Linked DNA regions of Mus musculus. The protein of the gene in region 4 interacts with the protein of the main gene of each other region in a pairwise test. Links are inferred from orthologs where the notes say so. Each region holds a gene or a part of one and is shown on either strand. Other genes may lie near its edges. The genes, in order: Nav2, Tsr2, Ccndbp1 and Pias2.

Region 1 (4,611 bases), on a different chromosome or scaffold from region 4:
GAGACAAGCAGGTCAAAACAGCAAACCTCCCATTCGATATCCGCAAAGTTGGACTGTTTTTGCTTTTGAAGTAGATTTGCCAGGGTTGGAATTTGAGCACACAGAATTTTAAAGTCGAGCATTAAACAATAAAATTTAAAATGTCCCCAAGGTCAGAGGAAGATCTGGGTGAGTCTTGCCCTTGTCACACTCCCACCCCACCCCCAACCTTAAGTTAAAAGGACTTCTGTAGAATTCTTGGCCTCCTGGGAAGAAAACTTTTGGCTCCCCCTGGTACCTCAGCAGCGGCATTGCATAGGATTTCAAAAGTAGCCTATCTATAGAAAAAGGCAAAATGGAAGCATTGCAGACAGAGTTCTAAATGGGTACAAAGTCATTTTGTCCAAGGTCGAGCAACTTAAAAGGAAAATCATGACCCAGTCGGAAATGTGCCTTTCAGACAGCCCCACTTCCCAGTGTTTCGGGAAGGTGGCTGAGCCAGGAGGCACTCTGGGGCTACAGAACCAAGTCAGGCAGCAATGGGTACACAGGCTGCTGTTGCGATCCTGGGTGGGCTGGGAGAGACATCTGGGCGTGGAGAGTGGGGAGAGGGTGTTGCTAAGGAAACAGTTTTAAGCAATGTTGGTGCGGTGTACTCCTAAGGTGACTGAGAAAACTATGTTGAGGAGGGGTTCGATTTTCCTACCTCCCAAATTCACAGTATGAGAGTGTACGGCCGTTGCTGGGAGACAAGACTGAGAAGGGCTACCCTTCAGGGGCACTGGAAGGCTCAGGGTTTGGCCCTGGTCACAGGCTAGACACGTGGTTTGAAACTTTTATTACAAACAAAACAACAGAAGACACACTCACATCCACACTAGTAGCAAAGGCAGGCTGGGTCTGGGCTTACAGCAGGGAACGGAAATGTTTCTAGTTACCAGTTAGCAGGACACATTCTTGTTCCTTTCAATGAGGAAGAAAATCAGTGCCATTCCAAAGAAAGCGAGCAGTTTTGGGCCAAGCTCTTAGGGTAAGAAAAAAAAAAAAAAAAAAAAAGACAAACGTTCAAGAATGGAACATCAAAGATGAGGTTAAAAACCCTGATCGTTAACAGAGACACCCTCGGTGGGGCCAGGAAAGTTTCTATAAAACACAAAGAGCTCAAAGATGTCCATACGGTGAAGAGGACACCAGTGTGCTGAAGCCATGGCACACTGAGGGGTGTGTCCTAGAGTACAAATTTGCAAGGTTGAATGGACTTGTGGGGTCACTGTCCAGTGAATTTGTTGGCTGGAGACCGATAGGAGCCTAAAAAACATCTCTCTCTCTCTCTCTCTCTCTCTCTCTCTCTCCCTCCCTCCCTCCCCCTCCCCCCCCCCCAATCATACATCCACATAGATGACTCTCTGAGATGAGAGGTCGGCAACTTGTGTTCTCTTCATGGATAGATGACTTATAGCCCTGTTTACTTCGATGGGGAAGACACACACACACACACACACACACACACACACACACACACACACACACACACACACACAACCCCAGGCAGGCACAACACTCATGTGAATGGACACGGTCAGCACAAAACCAGTAAGGCATTGCATGGGGGCGGTCAGCACCGAAGAGGTCAGGCAAGGCTCATCGGGACGGAGGCACGGCTGGCCGGGTTTCTGGGAAGGGTGGCCGCCCCTCCCTGGCTAAGCTGTGTCACATTGGATCTGAGGAAAGTGCCAGCTTTTGGTGAGGGGGCATCGTCAACTCCTCCTGCAACTGGGGTCTGGGGTGCCCAAGGTGATGCTGTGGGGTTCTCAGCTCTCAGAGACAAGAAGGAAAGGCGAGGTCCATGGCTCACCCACAGGAGGAGAACTAGTCCTCCTCTATCTGAAAGGATATGGATGCCCACACAACCCCGGAAGGAGGTGTCGAGGGCCCAGAACTGTGACAGTGGACACTGAAAACCCAGGCTGAGGGAGGAGGCAAACTCTACTTAGTTCTTGCTTTCACCAAAGGACTAATTCTGGTCAAGGGAGTGGGGGTTGGGGAAAAGGGGCCTTCACAATCAACCAGGAAGAAAGGCAGACACAGGCAGGGGTTGATAGTTCTCCAAAGAACTACTTGTACAGTACACAGTGTTTGCGGACAGAAACCTGACCATTTAGACAGACGAAGGAAACAGGCGCGCTTTTCTGTGTTGCTAGCCCCATCTGCTCACTCACATTCTTGCATCTTCACTTGCTCTCACAGATCATGGGGGTGGGGGTGGGGGTGGGTGGGAGGGATGATGGGCCGGGAACAGGGGGAGGGGTGCACTGGAATAGACAGAATACCTCTCGGGAAGGCGAGCACCATGTGGAAAACAGAGACATGTGATGTATGGGTGTCCCTGGGTGGCGCTCCAAGCAGGCGCCCTCGTTAGCACCAATTCTTCCATGGAGGGTGGGTGGCATGGCTCTGGGGTGCTGGTGGCCAGACCCAAACTGGCGGGGTCTGTGCTGGGAGTAAGCCCTGCTGTCTGTGTTTCCAAGTTGAGTTTAGTCTTTTCTGTCTGGGGGGTAGTATGTGGAGGGATGCTGTTGGGTTTCAGGGCACCAAGTGGAATCTTACGTTTAAAATTTCCATTTAAACCCTTTATATTTCAACAGTGAGGATCCTTTCCCATGAAGTATTTTCAGTGTCTCACGGAGGTCACGGCAACAAGGCAAAAAAAAAAACGAGGATGAGGGTAGAAGAGAGGCTAGTACAGTTGTCACTGTCGGAAGGGGAGGTCCTGGGCTGCTCATGCGAGGGCAGAGAGCAAGGGACGAGGAGGGGTTCCTGCTCCCGCTACTCTGCTCTGGCTTCAAGGCTGTGGCAGCCAGGGCTGGCTCAGGAAGTCATCTTCAGAACGAAGTGGAGGATGCGGGGTGGGATGGAGCGAGGGAGAGTGGGGGAGTCTCCATCACAGAGTGGACTCCAAGGACGAGTCCAGGATGTCGTCATGGTGGCTGTTGCTGTTGGAGTCGCTGTCATAGCTCTGGGGGCTGGAGTAGTTGGCCGCCTCCTGCAACCTCATCAGCATGTTCATCTGTGGGGAGAGCAGAGGGGTTGGAGTGCCTGCCAGTTGGCTGGGAAGCCCACCCTGGCCTCTTTGGAGCCCCCGCCACCTACTCCAGACTCACCCCGCAGGTCAGGGCTTACCAGAGAGGCTGCAGACAAGAGCACAAGAGTCCTGGGCTCAGATTCCAGCTTCCCTGCTTACCCTTCCATGACCTTGAAAGGTTACTTAGTCCTTTTCTGTGGCATTTCCTTACTGCTCAAACTTAACTCAATAGTTCCTGCCCGTCATGTGGAGGTCTGGGATGAGCTAATATATTTGCCACACTGTGAGTTAAGTGGAAAACCCTACCAATGCCATCCCCACGGCTGTCGCTAGCAGCCTTGACATCTGAGGCATAAGGGCCTCAGTCACTGCCACAGCCTTTGGGAGGGGGAGGAGCAGCTTGCCAGGAGCAATCATGGTGCAGGGGATATGCGCCACACCACGTACCAAAGCACCCGAGCCTCCCTTGTCCCGTGCGTGGACCAGACGCAGGGCTGATCTCTTGGGGAGCAAAGGACATGGTGTGCTGACCACTCAAGAACAGCCCACCCGCTGCAGAGCAAGCTTTTGAATATGTTTGGCCCAGCGAGTGGCACTACGTGAAGATGTGGCCTTGGAGTAGGTGTGTCGCTGTGGGTGTGGGCTTTAAGAACCTCTTCCTAGCTGCCTGGAAGTCAGTACTCTCCTAACAGCCTGCAGATGAAGATGTGGAACTCTCAGTTTCTCCTGCACCATGCCTGCCTAGATGCTGTCAAGCTCCCACCTTGAGGATACTGGACTAAGCTTCTAAACCTGTAAGGCAGCCCCAACTAAATGCTGTCCTAAGAGTTGCCTTGGTCATGGTGTCTGTTCACAGCCGTGAAACCCTAACTAAGACAGAGTGTGAGCTGTTGCCTGCCACCTTTACCTCAAGTGGAGAAAGAACCCAAGCCTAACCTCCTAACCTCCTCTGGCAGCCATACAGCAGTTAATTCTCTGCAGCAGAGAGGGCTACTCACTATCGAATACCCCCAGTCAGTCCAGATCTCAGGACGGATGACGCAATGACCTTGCTAGCCTCAGTAAGACCCACATGACCTTGGCCTTGAGAAATGTCTACTGGATCCGGCATTCCCTTCAGACCCTGGGCAGGATAGCAGCGTTGAATTCTTTTAGTCAGCACCTATTCACAGCCTCAACACGGGGTGGCTGTGCTGCAGCAGCGACTGGCAGGACGCAGACTACCGAGGTCACCTGCTGGCATTTATTTAGTCCACTGGCTCCTCACGAGGGCTAGAACAGGTGATGTGGCTGCCTTCCAGCCCTGCCGCCCTTCTGAAGAGTGTTCCTCCATTATGCAATGCAAGCAATACTCTTTGTCCGACTTTTGTCGCAGCTGCCATAGAAGTGAGGGGCGGGTTTCAGGCAGGCTGACAGCCATATCTGGGGGGACTTGGGCACACTTCCTTCCTTCCTCCAAAAAGCTCCTATGGCTTTTTGTTGAGTGAGGTATAACTTGGCAGCATTGCTATGCATGAGTCTAGAATTGATTGGGGCTTTATCATTGCTAC
Region 2 (6,457 bases), on a different chromosome or scaffold from region 4:
TGTAGTATACAAGCAAAAGGCCAGTAGACAAAAAAAAAAAAAAAAAGCTCAAACAAAGCAACACCAGATGAAGTCTACAAAAATACCATTGAGTCCAGTTTTTGTTGGCTATCTACTGCTGCGTGTAGAGCCTGCCTGTAAGAGTGGTTTGTATCCCCAGTGAGAAAACTAGTTTTTCCCCTTTTCAATCAGTTAACTGGAGGTACCTTCCGGATTAAGGATGGGGGCTTGCATCTACCTCCCTTCTAAGCACGGGAGCCACATCTGGTTTACGCTGCTGCAGGCCCTGTGCATGCTGCCACAGTCTCTGTGAGTTCCTGTGTGCATCAGTCCTCTTGCATTTAGAAGGCCTTATTTCCTTCATGTCGTCCATCTTTTCTGGCCCTTACAATCTTTTCCACCTTCTCCTCTGTGGGATTCTGAAGAGGGCTTTCATGAATACATTCCATTTAAGACCAGAGCTTCTCACTCTCAATACATTGTGGGTCTCTATGTTGGTTCCCGGCTTCTGCAAGAGGAAGCTTCTCTGATGGTGGCTGAAAGAGGCACTGATCTACCGGTATAGGAGACTGTCATTAGGTGTCATTTTATTGCTGTGTGTTCCTTTAGCAGAACAAATGCTTCCTTTGCTAACTGTTCCTTTTTCTAAATGCTTACAGAGCTTAATGTGTTCTCTAAACGCTTGTAGTTAAATCTCATTAACTTTGCTTATCATATATCATAATGATCCTAACAATCAGATAACACTGGATGATCATATCACAATGCTGGCTTATCCTGAACCTCTTTCCTGCAGTGTAATCAAAGGCCTGGCTTTACCTGAAGGAGGACAGAACTCCTCAGACTGCTGAGGGCAGTGGTGGGCTGTATCTCCCCCATGGGCTCTTTCTAAATATTTACAGCTCAAACATTTTTGTTGCAAGCTAAAAATGTGTCCCCTAAGTACTTCAGCTACAACACTCAAGGTTCATTTCATAGTGTTTTCCAATTTCCCTTTGTTTTTGTCCTTTGACCTATTTCCATAAAATAGAGTCCATAAGGTTACACAAATTTATGGATTTCACATGTTTCTTTCTCTTACTAATTTCTAATTTTGCTTTGCAGTCTTTCTTTTTTTTTTTTTTTTCTTTTGTGGTCTTGGGATGAAACTCCAGGACCCCAGTATGCTGGCAAGGTAGATAGAAACATTATCAGCCCTTAGTCCTTAAAACATACTAAACGCTGTTGTGTGGAATACTACATGGTGTGTCTTGGAGAATGTTCTTGTGAACTTCAGAAAAATCTATATTCTGTGCTAAGTGTGGTGGTGTGTGATTAGTCCTAGAATTTAGGAGAGTGTGGTAAGAGTCCAATACCAGACATGGCTACACAGTGGAAACTGAAGTTCCTAGAGAAAAGAACAGGTACATCTGTATGGACCGTTCTATAGGACCAAATGACGGAGCTTTGTGGTTGGGGTGAGTAAAAATGTTACAGAGGAGAGACAAATGACCTTGAGCTACTTTTAATCCCATTGAAAACAATTCCTTGTCTTCCCTTGAATCTGAACGAGAAATCTCGTGGTTATCACAACTTTTCAAATACATACTTAACAGCGAGCATCTATGAATCCAAAAGCTAAGAATGTCATCAGACAGTATCTGAAACCTAAGCAGAAATTTCCTCATCCCACTACCTGTAGTCTCTATCAATAGATTTAGTAAATGCTTTGACTTAGGACTTTCTTTGTTCTGTAACTACTAAAATGTCATTTGACCACTTCCACAAAAGAAAATATCTTTCTGGACAACCTGAATCCTGGACATGGTCACTCATATTTGACTCAAGAATGAATTGTTGGAGCTGGAGAGATGGATCAGCGGTTAAGAGCACTGACTGCTCTTCCTAGAGGTCCTGAGCTGAGTTCAAGTCCCAGAAACCACATGGTGGCTCAAAACCATCTGCAATTGGATCCGATGCCCTCTTCTGAGGTGTCTCTGAAGACAGTGACAGTGTACTCACATATATAAAATAATTATTTTTAAAAAATTAAAATTACATTTATTTATTGTGTGTGGGAGTGCCTGCGCCTGTGAATGCCGTGTAACACATGTGGAGGTGAGAGGAAATTGCAGAAATCGGTTCTCTAGTTCCATCCTGTAGGGCTCAGGGACTGAACTCAGTTCTTCAGGCTTGGAGGCAATTGCCTTTATCTGCTGAGCCTCGCAAATGTAGGTTTTCTCGCCCTCGCTATTCTTTTCTCCTTTCCTCTTTATTTCAGCTATGCTTCCTAAGTACTCTGCTCCAGGTTCTCCTTTAATTATTAGGATTTACTGTGGTAAGTGGTAGCATCTACCACTGATGGCGTTTCCCACTGTTCTGGTCTTGCTGCCAGCCAGATTGGCAGAAAACTAAACCACGTTCTGAGAATCGGCTTTTGGCTCCTTTTGCCTGGTGAGGTCGCCCTAGCGATTGGGCTGCCTGGGAGCCACGTGATCTAAACGGATGATGGCGGGCGCCGCTGAAGATGTGCGTGTGCTCTTCGGAGCTGCAGTCCGAGCTGCGCTGGAGGCTTGGCCTGCTTTACAGGTAAGTGAGGTCCTGGCGGGGGGTCACGATTAAGGCTGTGACAAAATAGAAGTTGACCAGGCGAGGCGCCAGAGCCATGGCTGGGCGGTGTAAGCGGCAGACTCCCAGGCCCCGGCAGGCCACGCCGTTCTGGTTTCCATGCTGTCATGGTTGGCTTGGGCCTGTGTTCACAGATCGCTGTGGAGAATGGCTTCGGGGGCGTGCACAGCCAGGAGAAGGCCGAGTGGCTAGGGGGTGCAGTGGAGGATTACTTCATCGCCAATGGTGAGTGAATGTGAGGTGTTGCTGTCTGTCGCAGTGTGGCGTGGCAGAGCCTCGACGTAGAGAGCCCGCGTTTGATGAATGAATCGTGACTTTGAGATCAGAATTGTGTCTTTAGAGTGCCTTAGAGGCAATGACACTCAAATGCTATTATGCTGGAGAACGCATTTTGCCTTCCAGAGAGTCATTTTCCTACTTTCTAAAATGGTTATGGAAAGATCCGACGAAAAGAACTATTCGAGTCATATCTTGTAACTTAAAATTGCTGGATGAGGGGTGGGGGACAGCTCCGTGGACAAAGGCCAACAAGCATAACAGTCCGAATTTCATAGCTGGGACAACATGGAAGGAGAGAACTGGTACACGCTTAAGGTGTCCTCTGATTCTCCCTACACAAGTAAATATAATTTTAAAATTGTTGGGTGAGGAGTGTAGCCCAGTGGTAGAGCACTTTCCTAGTCTGCTCGTGTCCCTGGGCTCCAACCCTGGTGCCACCAAAACTAAAAGCAGTACCTCTGATAAATAAAAGGCAGCCAGGCCCTGTGGTGCAGGCATGTACTCTCATATTCCTGATGCAAAAGGACCTCAAGTTCAGATTCACCACAACCTTGTCTCATAATAAAAATAATATAAAGACTTGGAGATATAGCTCAATGGAAGTGCTTGCTTACTACACACATGTGAGGCTCTACACTACTCATACTACCACAAATGAATAAATGAATGAAAGAAGCAAATATTATAGTGTTATTAAATTCATATCCAAGGTCTAGCATATGGGCCATGTTTGTGATTCTAGCACCAGGGAGACGGAGACAGGGGAATTGCTCTAAGTTTCAAGCTCCATATCCCCAAGTTGTCCTTATGATAAAAGAAGGGGCTGGAGAAATGTTCAGCTGTTAAAAGTGCGTCCTGCTCTTCCTAACCTGAGTTGGGTTCTCAGCTCACAACCACCTGTAACTCCAGCGCCAGAGGATCCAAAATGTTCCTCATCTGTACACATGTGCATGCACATACATGTAATTAACAAATAAGTAACACAGGGCTGAAAGGATGGCTCAGCAGTTAAGAGCATTTGTTCTTGCATTGGACCTCGGTTCCGTTCCCAGCACCTACATGGTATCTCATAGTTATCTATGACTCCAGTTCCAGGGGTTCTGATATCATCTTTCTGTCCTTATCTGGGCACCAGGTACACACAGTGCACACACAGGCAATCAAAACAACATGCACATGAAATAAATACAACAAAAATCCTCTTCCAAAATATTTTAGTATGTCATAAGAATTAAGCATTTTTCACTTTTAGTATTAAATTTCACAATCTGGAGTTTATTTATTTATTTAGGTTTTTCAAGACAGAGTTTCTCTGTGTAGCCCTGGCTGCCCTGGAACTCACTCTGTAGACCAGGCTGGCCTTGAACTCAGAAATCCACCTGCCTCTGCCTCCAGAGTGCTGGGATTAAAGGCGTGCGCCACCACGCCCGGCACAATCTGGAATTTTAAAAGTCTTAGTACGTCTCATTTGTGACCAGCCACATTCTAAGTGCTTGTGCTCGATAAGCACATGCTGCTGCTTCTACACAAAAGTTCTACACTTCCATTTTGTCTTGGTGGGGTATAAAAGAACAAGAGGACTTAGAGTATTGCATGCTGTTTTTTTTTAACTCTTCATTAACATCCTAGGTTTTTTTAAAGATTATTTTATTTATATGAGTACACTGTAGCTGTCTTCAGACACACCAGAAGAGGACATCAGATCCCTTTACAGATGGTTGTGAGCCGCCATGGGGTTGCTGGGATTTGAACTCAGGACCTTTGGAAGAGCAGTTGGTGCTCTTAACCACTGAGCCATCTCTCCAGCCCCCAATATCCTAGTTTTGAGGATGGTATTAGGCAGATTCACAGCTCAACATTTACAATCTAGTGAGTGATTTCAGGTAAGTAAATGAATAGTTAAAATACTGGGTGGTGTGTGTTATGCTAAAGAGGAGCTCAGAATTCTTCAGTTAACTGAGCCTGAGGAGAAGCCTTTTTGATTTGATTTTTGTTTTTTGGGTTTTTTTTTTTTTTTTTTTTTTTTGAGACAGGGTTTCGCTATGTAGCACTGACTATTCTAGAACTCTTCTGTTGACCAGGCTGGCCTCAGACTCCGAGATCTACCTGTCTCTTGTCTCCCAAGTGCTGGGATTAAAGGTGTGCGCGCCACCACTGGTCAGTAAGAGGCCTTCTTAAGAGTAGCGATTAGAGTGAGGCCTAAGGAATGAAAAGGGGGAAACTAGGTAGAGATGATAAAGCATGTACTCAAAGGAGTTAAGTGCATTATATTAAGGGGATGGAAGAGTGGTAGAGAATGGTGTGTGTGTGTGTGTGTGTGTGTGTGTGTGTGTGTGTACAGAGACACTGACTAAAGGGTAAGAGATAAAAGGCCTTCTGTGACTTTGCTTATAGAGATAGAAAGCCAGTGTCTGTAAAATTCAAGCTATAAAAGACTTGTCTCGTTAGATATTCAATGAAGAAAATGTTTCTCCAGTCAAATTATAGAAGCTTTTTTCTTCCAGCTGCTATTTTATTCCTAGTAGTAGTAGTAGTAATTGGAGACAGTATCTCCTTCTATAGCTCAGGCTGCCATGGAATTTATGTTCCTCATGCCTCATTTTCCTGAGTGCAGGGTTATATAGGTGTGTGCCATCAGTCCTGACTCTGTTTTCCATTAGCTTTTTATGGAGATCTTCCCGTAAAACTCAGCAAAATTGAGCTGGGAATGTAACACAATTGGTAGAGTATTTATCTAACATAAGAGGTCCAGGGTTCAATCCCTAGAGCCACATTAACCAGGCATAGTGATTCATGCCTGTAATCTTAGCACTGGGAGGTGAAGGAAGGAGGATAATCAATTACCAGGAGGAATTCCAGGCTAACCCTGTATTATATAGTGAGTTTGATGCTAGCCTGGGCTACATACCTGTTATAAAAACAAAACCCTGAAACTCAGCAAAATATTTCCTAAAGGCAAGCTTCACAATAGGTGATAAAATTCATGAGCAGGTTCTAAGGTAAGTAAGTAGTGTTTGCTAGCTAGAAAATTCAGAAAGTAGTTAGTATAGAAAATAATGTCTAGGGGGCTGGTGAGATGGCTCAGTGGGTAAGAGCACCCGACTGCTTTTCTGAAGGTCCGAAGTTCAAATCCCAGCAACCACATGGTGGCTCACAACCACCCGTAATGAGATCTGATGGCCTCTTCTGGTGCATCTGAAGACAGCTACAGTGTACTTACATATAATAAATAAATCTTAAAAAGAAAAAAGAAAATAATGTCTAACGTAGGACAATGGCAATGGTCAGAGAAAAAGAGAGTATCAATAGAGGGGGTTTGGAAAAGAGATTTATGATGAGTGGCAGGGTAGATAGAAGCCTTTCATTGGATAGAGGAACCTTGGAGGATGAGATGCTGGTTTGGAAGGCAGGATAATAAACCTGGCTTTGGATATAGGGACCTGTTTAACATTTGGACACATAATTAGCCTGAGTGGAAGACAAAATTTTTTTTTAAGATTTATTTATTTATTATATGTAAGTACATTGTAGCTGTCTTCAGACACTCCAGAAGAGGGAGTCAGATCTCGTT
Region 3 (4,257 bases), on a different chromosome or scaffold from region 4:
CTTCTACTGTACATATGGCAGGTTTATTCTTGCTACTTTCTTCATGTGACATATGGCTCCCTAGCCTTTACATTCTCTCCATTGAGGACCTGGTTGACATTGCTGACACCTGTGCTCATTTACCGTGTGTGGACATTGAACTCCACTGAACTTGGAATATTCATGGTGCAGTTAAAAAGTCATCTGAGCTCCTGAAGTCCATGGCTTACAGCTAGCAGCCTGGAAGAAGTCCAGCCTCCACATTTGTGGCTCAGATCTCTGCCCTGTGGCAGATGGGAAAGCCAGTATCAGTGGGTGAGCTTCAGGAAGCAGTCACTCCTTGGACATCTGAATGTTGGAAATGTTTACTACTGATTCTTGCTGTGTGGACTGCAGAAAAGTCTAACAATTGATTCTTCCTCAGGAGGCAAAGAGCCCTAATCAAGAAGATTGCCACAGTGGGGTCTCTGTGTCACTGTGTCCCTTGGTACTACTGTGTTTATTAGGGTCATCCTGTGAAAAGCATCCAGCCCGAACTTGGAGTTCAGGATGTCATTTTCTGCCTAGGGAGCCTGTGGAAACTTGTCCTGGACCTTTACTGCTCCTGAGACTTGACTTCCCAGCCTGTTTCCCCACCGATCATGGGCTTTCTGCTTCCTTAGCCAAGGTTGTTTTCAACTAATCAAATAAATGAATGAATGGTAGCCATAAACAATGGGTTGGAGAGATCAGTGGTTAAGAGCATGTACTTTACCTCCAGAAGACCCGAGTTCAATCCCTAGCAACCATGTCAGATGCTCACAACTGCCTGTAACTCTAGCTCCAGGCCAGAGCCACTGTGGGCACCTACATTCATATGTGCACAGACTTACATGTGATTAAAAAATAATAAAAGATAAGTATTAACAAAGAAATATCACAAACGGATCTGCAATGTTGATAAACATATGGGAGCCAGAAAGTGGGCCTGGTTTGGGGGCTTGGAGAAAGAGTCACCAGGGAGCTGGAGTCAGCAGTTAAGAGTGCTGGCTGCTCTTCCAAAGGTCACAGGTTCGATTCCCTTCACTCACACAGTGTAACTCCGGGTCCTGGGGATCTGATTCCCTCTCTGGCCTCTGCAGGCACTGCCACGGACATATTTACAGGGGAAAAGCTCAGTTACATAGAAGAGTGGCCAGGTCTCTAGTAGGTCAAAAGATGCCTGGCTGGGTCTTTTGAGTGGCCTAGTGTCATGGAGGGAGGGGTAGTGGGGTGTAGCCAGGGACTGGAAAAAGTCTCTAGATCTGCGGGGAGGGCAGGTGAAGGAGGCGTGGCTGGGTCTCCAGGCCGGGCCAGCGGGGAGTGGGCAGGTTTCCAGTGGGGAGGCGTGGTCTTGTTCCTGAGTGGGCGGGTCTCTGGGGGTGGGGGGAGGCGTGGACGGATGGCCGGGCTGTCTGGGAAGGCGGGGTCGCTACACTGAGAAGGAAGGGGCGGGACGCGCTGTGTGTTGCCGGAAACGAGATGAGTTTTTCAGCACCGGAAGTACTGCGGCGGGGCCAAATGGCTTAAGCGTCTTAGCTGGTTCCCAGAGAGAGCCTGCGATGGCGAGCTCGACAGCCGCAGTCCCCTTCCTTGCTCCGCCTCTGGAGCAGCTCCGGCACTTAGCAGAGGAGCTACGGTCACTTCTGCCTCGAGTACGGGGTGAGTTATGGGAATCTGCATCCCGGGCTCCGGGTAGGGATGTAGGGCATCAGGTCAGGGCTCCTCTCACCTGTCTTTTGCTTTCGGGGTGATCCGGCCTTCCTCAAGTCGGCGAAGCCCAGGAGACAGCGGAGGAATTTAATCGAGAAATGTTTTGGAGAAGACTCAGTGAGTGTCTGCCGTTGCGGGCTCTTCCCTCATCTCCCTGCATCCTAACCTTCCCTCTGCTGTCCCCTGAGATGACAATGTCTCTGGTCCTCATCCCTTCTCCCACCCATTCTCCGCACTTGAAGCAGAAATATAAAACGATTTCTGGAGTTGTTTTGGAGATGTTGATTAGGGTGGAAAAGGGACGCGTTATCTAAAAAGTCCAAGTAGTAACTTTAACCTTTTAACACTAACTTTGGCCCCCTGCCGCCTCTGACACCCCCAGATGAGGCAGCAGTGAAAGTGAACGGGGAAGCCACTGTTCTGACAACGCACTTCTCTAAACTTCCATGGCCATCTCCACAGGTGAGCTTTGCTTCCGGAGGGTTATTTTCTCCTTAAGAATCCTCCCGTTTTCTTACCCTTCACATTCAAGCCACACTTATTTCCCCCACTTAGCAAGCGAGGTTACAGTTCTTACCACATGGGATTGTTGTAAATAGCCAGGTGCATAGGGTTAGAAAGGTCTTCTAAATTTAGGCTGAAACTCAGCCAGGTTAGTTCCTCTTAACTTTCAACTTTCCTTGTTGATTTATAGCTGTTTCACATACATATTCCCCATCTGACCAATGAGTAAGCAGGTTTAGAGGCTCAGGTCAATAAATAGCAGAGGAGGAGTTAAATGTCTTTGCAGTATCTAAGCAGCACCTGTTATATAAAACCCTTTAGTGTTAAGATGTTGCTGTTGCTGCTGGTGGTACACACCTTTAATCCCGGCACTTTAAGGAGGCAGGGGCTGGCTGCTCTCTTGAGTTCAAGACCAGCCTGGTCTACAGAGCAAGTTCCAGGACAGCCAAGGCTGTCCTTCTTTTTGTAATGCTTTTTATAATTGTCAGGTGTCTACCTAATTTCTTTCTATTGTGTGGTGAGTACATTATAAGACCTGACTCATGACGAGTTTTCATAAAAGATTTAACCATGCTCTATAGATGTTTGGTCTCTTCCTTAGTAAATGAGTTGACAGCATTGATGTTAAACATTCTTTCTGAATTTGGTCCATCACCTCATAGGAAACCCAGAGGATCTGTGAGCAAGTCCGTATTGCCATCGAGGAAATAATTATAGTGTATTATTCACTTCCTAAGGACCAGGGTAAGTGACCGTACACGGTAGTGTTGTATTCATGGGCTAGGGCTTTGCTAAGGTAGTAGACTATATCCTGACATGTAAACATTATATGTTTATCTTCAGGGTAATATTATATATTTATACGTAAGTATATTATCCATGTTTGTTTCTCTTCATTTTGAGCATGTGACTTTCCTGTGAAATAAAATCGAAGATAATTTTATATGTGAGTGAGTTTTGTGACACTCCCTTATGTGAAGGTACAGATGCTATGTAACTGTGACTTTCCATCGTGTGTGTGTGTGTGTGTGTGTGTGTGTGTGTGCAGGTACACACATGGGCTCTCTCCTTCTACCGTGGGTTCCTGGGATTCAACTCAGATCATCAGGCGTGTGCAGCAAGTGCTTTTACCTGCTGAGCCATCTCAACTGGCTGTTACATTTTTTTTTTTTTATTTTATGGGTATGGGTGCTTTGTCTGCATGTGTGTCTGTGTACCACATGTATGTGGTCCCTGCTGAGGTCAGAAGAGGGTGTTGGGTCCCCTGGAACTGAAGTTACAGTGTGTGTGCTGCTGTGTGGGTTGTGGAACTTGGCCCTGGGTCCTCTGGAAGACACTAAGTTCTCTTCAGTGCTGAGCCATGTCTTCAGCCCCTCAACTGACCCTTTATAAAAAAAAATCATCTATTATTTGTGTCTGTGATGTATGAAGTTGCACGTGTTCATTCAGGTACTTATGCATGTGTATATGAGTACACATGGAGGCCAATGTCTTGTGGTTTTGGAGTTCACTGATTCCCCAGGGAGCCTCCTAGCTCTGCTCTCCCTGCACTGGCATCATGGGAACACTTGAGTGTGTCGGCCTTTCTCACGTAGGTTCTGGGAACTGAACTCAAGACATCATGGTTATGTAGCTGGCATTTTCCCAAATATGCCGTCTTTTCAGCTCCTCATTCCTCTTCTTTTTTTTTTTTTTTTTTAAATTAGGTATTTTCCTCGTTTACATTTCCAATGCTATCCCAAAAGTCCCTCATACCCACACCCCCAAGTTCCTCTTCTTTTTAGTCCATTCTAATTCCTACATTTGTTTGCTGGATCCCAGCTCCATACCCATACCCAGGCCATCCCGACCCTCCTCCACCTAGCATTACATCATAACCTATTGCAAACCCCTTCACAAGTTAGCATACCCTGGCCCATAGATTTATGGCGTCACTGAAGCTCTACAGAGAGAATCAATGAAAGCATAACATAGTTTATCAGGGTTACTAACACATGCTTTACACGGCCAGTGTTTTGCTCACAATTATCAAAGGGCCGGCAT
Region 4 (5,911 bases):
ATGAAAATTGCTTTCTATAGTTACTTCTCACACAGATATTTCAAAACCATCCCAAGAACAATTCATTTCAAGTACAATGAACAGTAGTGAACTATAAATCGACAAACCCTTTGGTTGGACTGCTTTGTGTTTCTGACATAAAGATGCATTTCCTTTTGGCGGGAGGGTCTTCCTCTTCATCAGAAGAGCTCTCTATTGTTAGATCAATAACATCTATCTTCTTCTTGCTTGCATCACTGGCTACAGTCACTGAACAAGGTTTACTAAAGACACTTGAACCTGGATGGAAATAAACAGGGGGACAAAAAAAGAAATATCAAAGAATTAACAAAAACTAGCTATAGAAGTCTTAAATATGTGCATATATACATGAAAATACACAGCTAAGGAAACCATATTCTCTAGCAGGGACTAACTCAACATAAGTGAGGACTGCCAGGGCTATTCCTGACAGAGGTCAGAAGCCCCCTTCACAGCATGCTCTCTCCAGCACTATCAGTGGGTTACTACAGAACCTGGGGCTACTCATGTTGTCTTTCTAGGTTAGCAATCCGTGTACAGACAGAACATGAGGGTTAGACAACTGGCCTTATCCCGTGGGACAAGAGTATAGAATGTGACCAGCTCTGCACTGTCATCATACACGTGTGGCAGTATTGAGTATGCAGTGTCAGTAGCTGCATGTTTCTATATGCGGCACCGCTGAGTTAGAGACAGACATTTCAACTCCAGTGGTCGTATAAAAGTCACAAGCTGGTAAACAAAGCTACTATGGCATGAATCATCTAGTCACTACTCATTCAGTCTATACAAGCAATCACATTTATCATATTATATAACATTATTCTCTATAACCTACCACAAAAAAATGAATGCTATTTCATTAGGGAAAAACCATCAGACATAAATCAATAAAACCATACCTGCCCACACTTTACACTAATGTGGACAACCCATGCAATGTGACTCCTAAGAGTTCGAGCAATCACAAGAGAACAAGTAACAGAGTACTTGCTCAATTCAACAGAGCCAGAAGAAAATCAAAGGAAATGAGTCCAGAGGTTGCATGTGCACATGGACTTCAACTTACCAAACTCCTTTAGCAGGGCCCTTCAGTGCAGATAGCTAAAGGAGCTAAAAGTAAGTACACACGCTGGGTAACTAAAGCTATAGAATCCCTACACCAACAAATGGAAGAATCTGCTCAGTAACAGCTAATTCATGACCAGTCTCCACACTGATTAATAAATGATATATATGGCCGCTCCAACCACAATAGGTTCTATAAAGATATACAAAACAGTTCCTAATCCTTCTGTCTCTCAAGTGTGCTTCTGTGCAATGGCATGCATGTGAAGGACGGGTTAATATCAAGCATCTTCCTCAACTGCGCGCCACTTAAAGGTCTCACTGCACCGATTTCCTTACTTAAGTCTAGTTTAGTGGTTCTCAACCTTCTTACTGCTGGGACACTTTACTACAATTCCTCATGTTATGGTGGCCCCCAAACATAAAATTACTTTTGTTGCTACTTCATAACTGTAATTCTACGATGATTTGCAATATACATATCTGTGTTTTCCAATGGTCTTAAGTCAACCACTGTGAAAAAGTCACTCCACCCCCTCAAGGGGGTCAGCACCCACCCACAGGTAGATAACGGGATGCCCTACGGATTCCTGTCTCTGCCTCCAGAGGACCAGGATTACACAAAGGCCACCCATGGCCCGCCCCATCCGTAACTCAGGGCTGAACTCCAGGCTTCATGCTATCTATACCCATCCTCAAAGCCTTCTAACTTCTCTGTTTTGTACATGAAACACCATTTAAAAGCTTGAAGAATGGTATATAAATTAGCACATTCCTTAAGAAAATGAGGAAGGATGAATGACCTAAAGTTAGCAAACTAAATTCTGAATATAGTCCTAGTAGTTAGAGTTTATACTTCATAATTTATACTGCTTTGAACGTTCCTGACATTCAATACATACTTTCTACTTTTGTACAGGGCTGGCTGGTTACTTTCATAGCTTCTTTTTTAGGTCTCATGGGACACCAAGAACCATCTTCCTGGAATTTGATCTCATCCACATCAGAACAGTCATTGAGAATTTCCATAAAAAGCCTGTAAAGTACATAAATGTCATAAAAGTCAATGATGAAATAAGAAAATAGTATACACTGAAGTCAAAGTAACAGTCTGACCTAAAAAGGCCACTGGAACTTCACTTATTTAACATTCCATGACAATTATAATTCCTCTCTATGGGAGGGAGATAAAGAGATGGATGGGAGGGTAGAGGATGAGCACAAAGGACAGGAATAGAAATCAGGGCCTACCACTGCACACACACAGACTTTGGCACACATATATACACATAATTAAAAATCAAATCTTTAACAAAAAGGAAGACCTAACTTATTAAATCAATTCATACAATTTTCCCAATTCTAATATAAACAATGTAAGAAATCACATTTAGAACTTAACTCCAGAGCCAGAATAACCTACACACAAACTACAGCTTCAAACTTAGCACCTATGTAATATGACTGCATTTATAAGGTACACATAACTACTTAATACTTTGTAGGGTCTCACTATATACTACACACACACACACACACACACACACACACACACACACACACACACACAAATCCAACTAGTCTTAAACTGAGATCTACTTGACTCTGTCTCCTGAGTGATAGAATTAAAAATGTCCCCTACCCCACATCAGCAGTAGCCTGCTTGTTTTCCTCCACTTATTCTATTTCTCTAACTGTTTGCCCAGAGTTACACTTACCCATCTAGTATCAGACTCTCATAGGCAGCCTTTTTGTCACAAACAGGACAGATCCAGGTGGGCTTTTTCTCATTCATCTGAAGATAGAGGGCAGCATCAAAGCACTGCAGATGTGTACAAGTCACTGCACGGCACGGGATTGTCAGCCTCATTTTTCCTAACTACAGAACAGAGAATACAGCAGCAATGAGTTCAAATAGGACAAGAGAACCTACAGGAGAAAAGGTGCTCATTAGAGTCTTAACAAGTCAAACAGGATGTTCAAAATAAAAAGCTCCAGCCTGCCGGGCGGTGGTGGTACATACCTTTAATCCTAAGCACTTGGGAGGCAGAGGCAGGTTTCTGAGTTTGAGGCCAGCCTGTTCTACAGAGTGAGTTCCAGGGCTACACAGAGAAACCTTGTCTCGAAAAAAACCAAACCAAACCAAACCAAACCAAAAACAAAAAAAACCCTCCAGCCTAAATTTACTCTCGTGAAGCTGTTTATCTTTTTATTTATGGGTGGTTTCAAATTTTTTGAAAGATCATTTTACTTCAATAATATCTAAGTTCAAAGGCAGAGAAACACACACACACACACACACACACACACACACACACACACACAAAATTAATGATGCTTTGAAAACAAAGCTGCATAAAGATAACTAAATAAAGGCCAGGCAATGGTGATGCACTCTTTTAATCCCAGCACTTGGGAGGCAAAGGCAGGAGGATCTCTATGAATTCAAGGCCAGCCTGGCCTACAGAGTAAGTTTTAGACCTGGAATTCCAAGGCTACACAGAGAAACCCTGTCTGGAAAAACTCCAATAAAATAAAATAACTCAACAGCAGCAGGTCTACTAAAGCTCAGTGCATTGATATTTTAGCCCAATCTGTCAGCAACTGTTGGAAACAAAATTGGAATAATTATCAGAATAAAAGCTTTATTCCTGTTCTACTAGTGACCCTTTGATTTGAGCTATCCAACCTCAGTCAGTTTCTTATTTTGCAAAATAAAAATGATACCTCCCTCAGGGTTTGTTGAAACATTTACACATAATGGAAACTCAAAAGTTATTTTCTTTCCCAATCCCCCCACCTGATAATTACTTTCTCTCAATTTTAAAAAAAAAAAAAAAAAAAGCACATTTCACATTGGTAGCAATCATCAAACGTCATCCAAAGCTACACTAGAAATGCGTTATTCACAGCTTTCCTCATAAAAGTTCTCTTTCTTCCACAAACTGATTTAAAGAAACTTTCACACAGGAAAAATATGGTGAATGATGTTCAACTACAATGTAAATAAAAACAACAGCTATACTACAAGAATGGAATTTAAGGGAAGAGTCTTTAGCAGGAGCAAAGAAGACCATTTTGTTCTCAAAAAGGAAGCAGTTTTCAAGATGATATAATTATAAAGTTCTAAGTATCTAACAATTTAGGTTTGACTATATTAACACAAATATAACTCATGAAATTATGACAAATAAAGTCTTATATTGAGAATTTAGATGAAATGTGCTGCTGTTTCTAAATGTTTCTGTTTATGTTCCTGAAATAGAAACAGGAATAGAAAGACAGGAGTAGATTTCAATAACCATCAAAGTAGGTACCACAGTCATATCTTTTTATGAATTTATGTTCAAAGAAGACATAATCTCTCTCTAGTCATAGTCTATCTCATAGAAACCGTAAGTGAAGGTGAACAAGATACTCCCGTGAACACACCTTTACTTCCCTAAACCTAATCTCATTGATCTTTTATCTAATAGTAATTCAAACTTTTAGAGGAGGGGGAGGGGGGTGCTGATAAAGCGGCTTTCCACACGTGTCATGGACTCCTGACATAAACAGTCACTACAGGTTTTAGTCATGCAGTGACTATATACTTGCTTTACATAAAATTAACTTAATTGAATTAAAATGTTTTGCTTTGCTTCTGGTGAGGGTTGGGGAGGAGTCAGTTTTCTTTAAGGAACTCACTACCTGGGAGTTTGACCCTGCTCCAATGAGTCTATGTACAGCACAAATTGGACTTGATAGTTTTGGTGGGTGACTCAAGGGTGGATCTGGGAGGAATAAAAAGTGAGTGGGATTGGAGGACACTGTATGAATGTTAGGAAAAAATCTTTTGTTTCTGCTTATGTTACTTAATATATATTAATCATTACATTTTATTACCTAGCTATAACTAACATAAATTGACCCTTTAAAAGGCCAATTCATTTATTTGTAAATATTTTTGAGTTTCTGTTGTATGTAGTCATTCTCCTAGGTATGTGGAATAAATTATTGAATAAATAAAACAATAAATCCCTAAAAAAAAAGGAGGGGGGGAAGAAACGTTAACTATTCCTGACATTTCTCAATCCCTATCATTAGGTACAGTCGGCTACTTTTTCACGGGCTGTGTCCTCTAACTGAATTGTCTACTTTCTCTCAGTTAGCTTGGTGCCAACAACACATTATATAGAAGGGTCTCAGGTCTGCTAATGACTTCTCACCCACATGTCTATGTAAGAATATAGGAAATAAACATTTTGTGTAGTTTAAAAGTGCATTGCAAAGACAGCCCATACATCATAACTCATTGGGCCAAAACCATCAATTAGCATTTATTAGACTCCAGTAATGTTACTGCTATTTATAGTATTAGATGCACTCTGAAAAAAGCTCTTAATTATTAACCTGCATTATTTCACAACATCAATGACGATAGTTTTCTGAGCCTAAGGTTTTGTACTCTTATATAACAATTTTGTACATTCATTCTTCAGAACCATTTAAAGAATACCAAAAAAACAAGCCAGGTGCAGTGGTGCTGGCCTTTAACACCAGCACTTGGAAGGCAACCACAGGCAGATCTCTGTGAGCTCGAGGCCAAGCTGGTCCACAAAGCATGTTCCAGGACAGCCAGAGCTGGTACACAGGGAAACCATGTCTTGGGAAAAAAACAAAAAAAAAAAAACAAGAAACAAATAAAAGAATACAAAAAACCCTTAACACTTAATATCTACATGGAAAAGACAAAAAGTTTAGAATTCTCCCAGTACTCTTCCATTCACCCCACCCTCACTCTTCTACCACACTTAGTCACTTACGAAAAGCCAAGCTGGCC

What was found.
Region 1: the proteins of Pias2 (region 4) and Nav2 interact in binary tests that used the Homo sapiens proteins (3 or more experiments, as listed by UniProt). The two-hybrid records come from large-scale screens. The link is inferred for Mus musculus from reciprocal best matches to the Homo sapiens genes PIAS2 and NAV2.
Region 2: the proteins of Pias2 (region 4) and Tsr2 interact in binary tests that used the Homo sapiens proteins (3 or more experiments, as listed by UniProt). The two-hybrid records come from large-scale screens. The link is inferred for Mus musculus from reciprocal best matches to the Homo sapiens genes PIAS2 and TSR2.
Region 3: the proteins of Pias2 (region 4) and Ccndbp1 interact in binary tests that used the Homo sapiens proteins (3 or more experiments, as listed by UniProt). The two-hybrid records come from large-scale screens. The link is inferred for Mus musculus from reciprocal best matches to the Homo sapiens genes PIAS2 and CCNDBP1.

What each region holds. Positions count from the first base shown.
Region 1 is NC_000073.6:49,605,131-49,609,741, reverse strand, and holds part of Nav2 (neuron navigator 2), read right to left. Parts: intron 3,047-4,611; coding exon 2,921-3,046; 3' UTR 1-2,920. UniProt on the Homo sapiens protein: Possesses 3' to 5' helicase activity and exonuclease activity. Involved in neuronal development, specifically in the development of different sensory organs.
Region 2 is NC_000086.7:151,092,540-151,098,996, reverse strand, and holds the start of Tsr2 (pre-rRNA-processing protein TSR2 homolog), read left to right. Parts: upstream 1-2,453; 5' UTR 2,454-2,484; coding exon 2,485-2,568; intron 2,569-2,741; coding exon 2,742-2,832; intron 2,833-6,457. UniProt on the Homo sapiens protein: May be involved in 20S pre-rRNA processing.
Region 3 is NC_000068.7:121,006,951-121,011,207, forward strand, and holds the start of Ccndbp1 (cyclin-D1-binding protein 1), read left to right. Parts: upstream 1-1,457; 5' UTR 1,458-1,559; coding exon 1,560-1,659; intron 1,660-1,767; coding exon 1,768-1,827; intron 1,828-2,092; coding exon 2,093-2,172; intron 2,173-2,876; coding exon 2,877-2,958; intron 2,959-4,257. Other genes in the region: Tmem62 (transmembrane protein 62 precursor), read left to right, coding at 1-195. UniProt on the Homo sapiens protein: May negatively regulate cell cycle progression. May act at least in part via inhibition of the cyclin-D1/CDK4 complex, thereby preventing phosphorylation of RB1 and blocking E2F-dependent transcription.
Region 4 is NC_000084.6:77,130,148-77,136,058, reverse strand, and holds part of Pias2 (E3 SUMO-protein ligase PIAS2), read right to left. Parts: intron 2,969-5,911; coding exon 2,808-2,968; intron 2,126-2,807; coding exon 1,992-2,125; intron 280-1,991; coding exon 108-279; intron 1-107. UniProt on the Homo sapiens protein: Functions as an E3-type small ubiquitin-like modifier (SUMO) ligase, stabilizing the interaction between UBE2I and the substrate, and as a SUMO-tethering factor.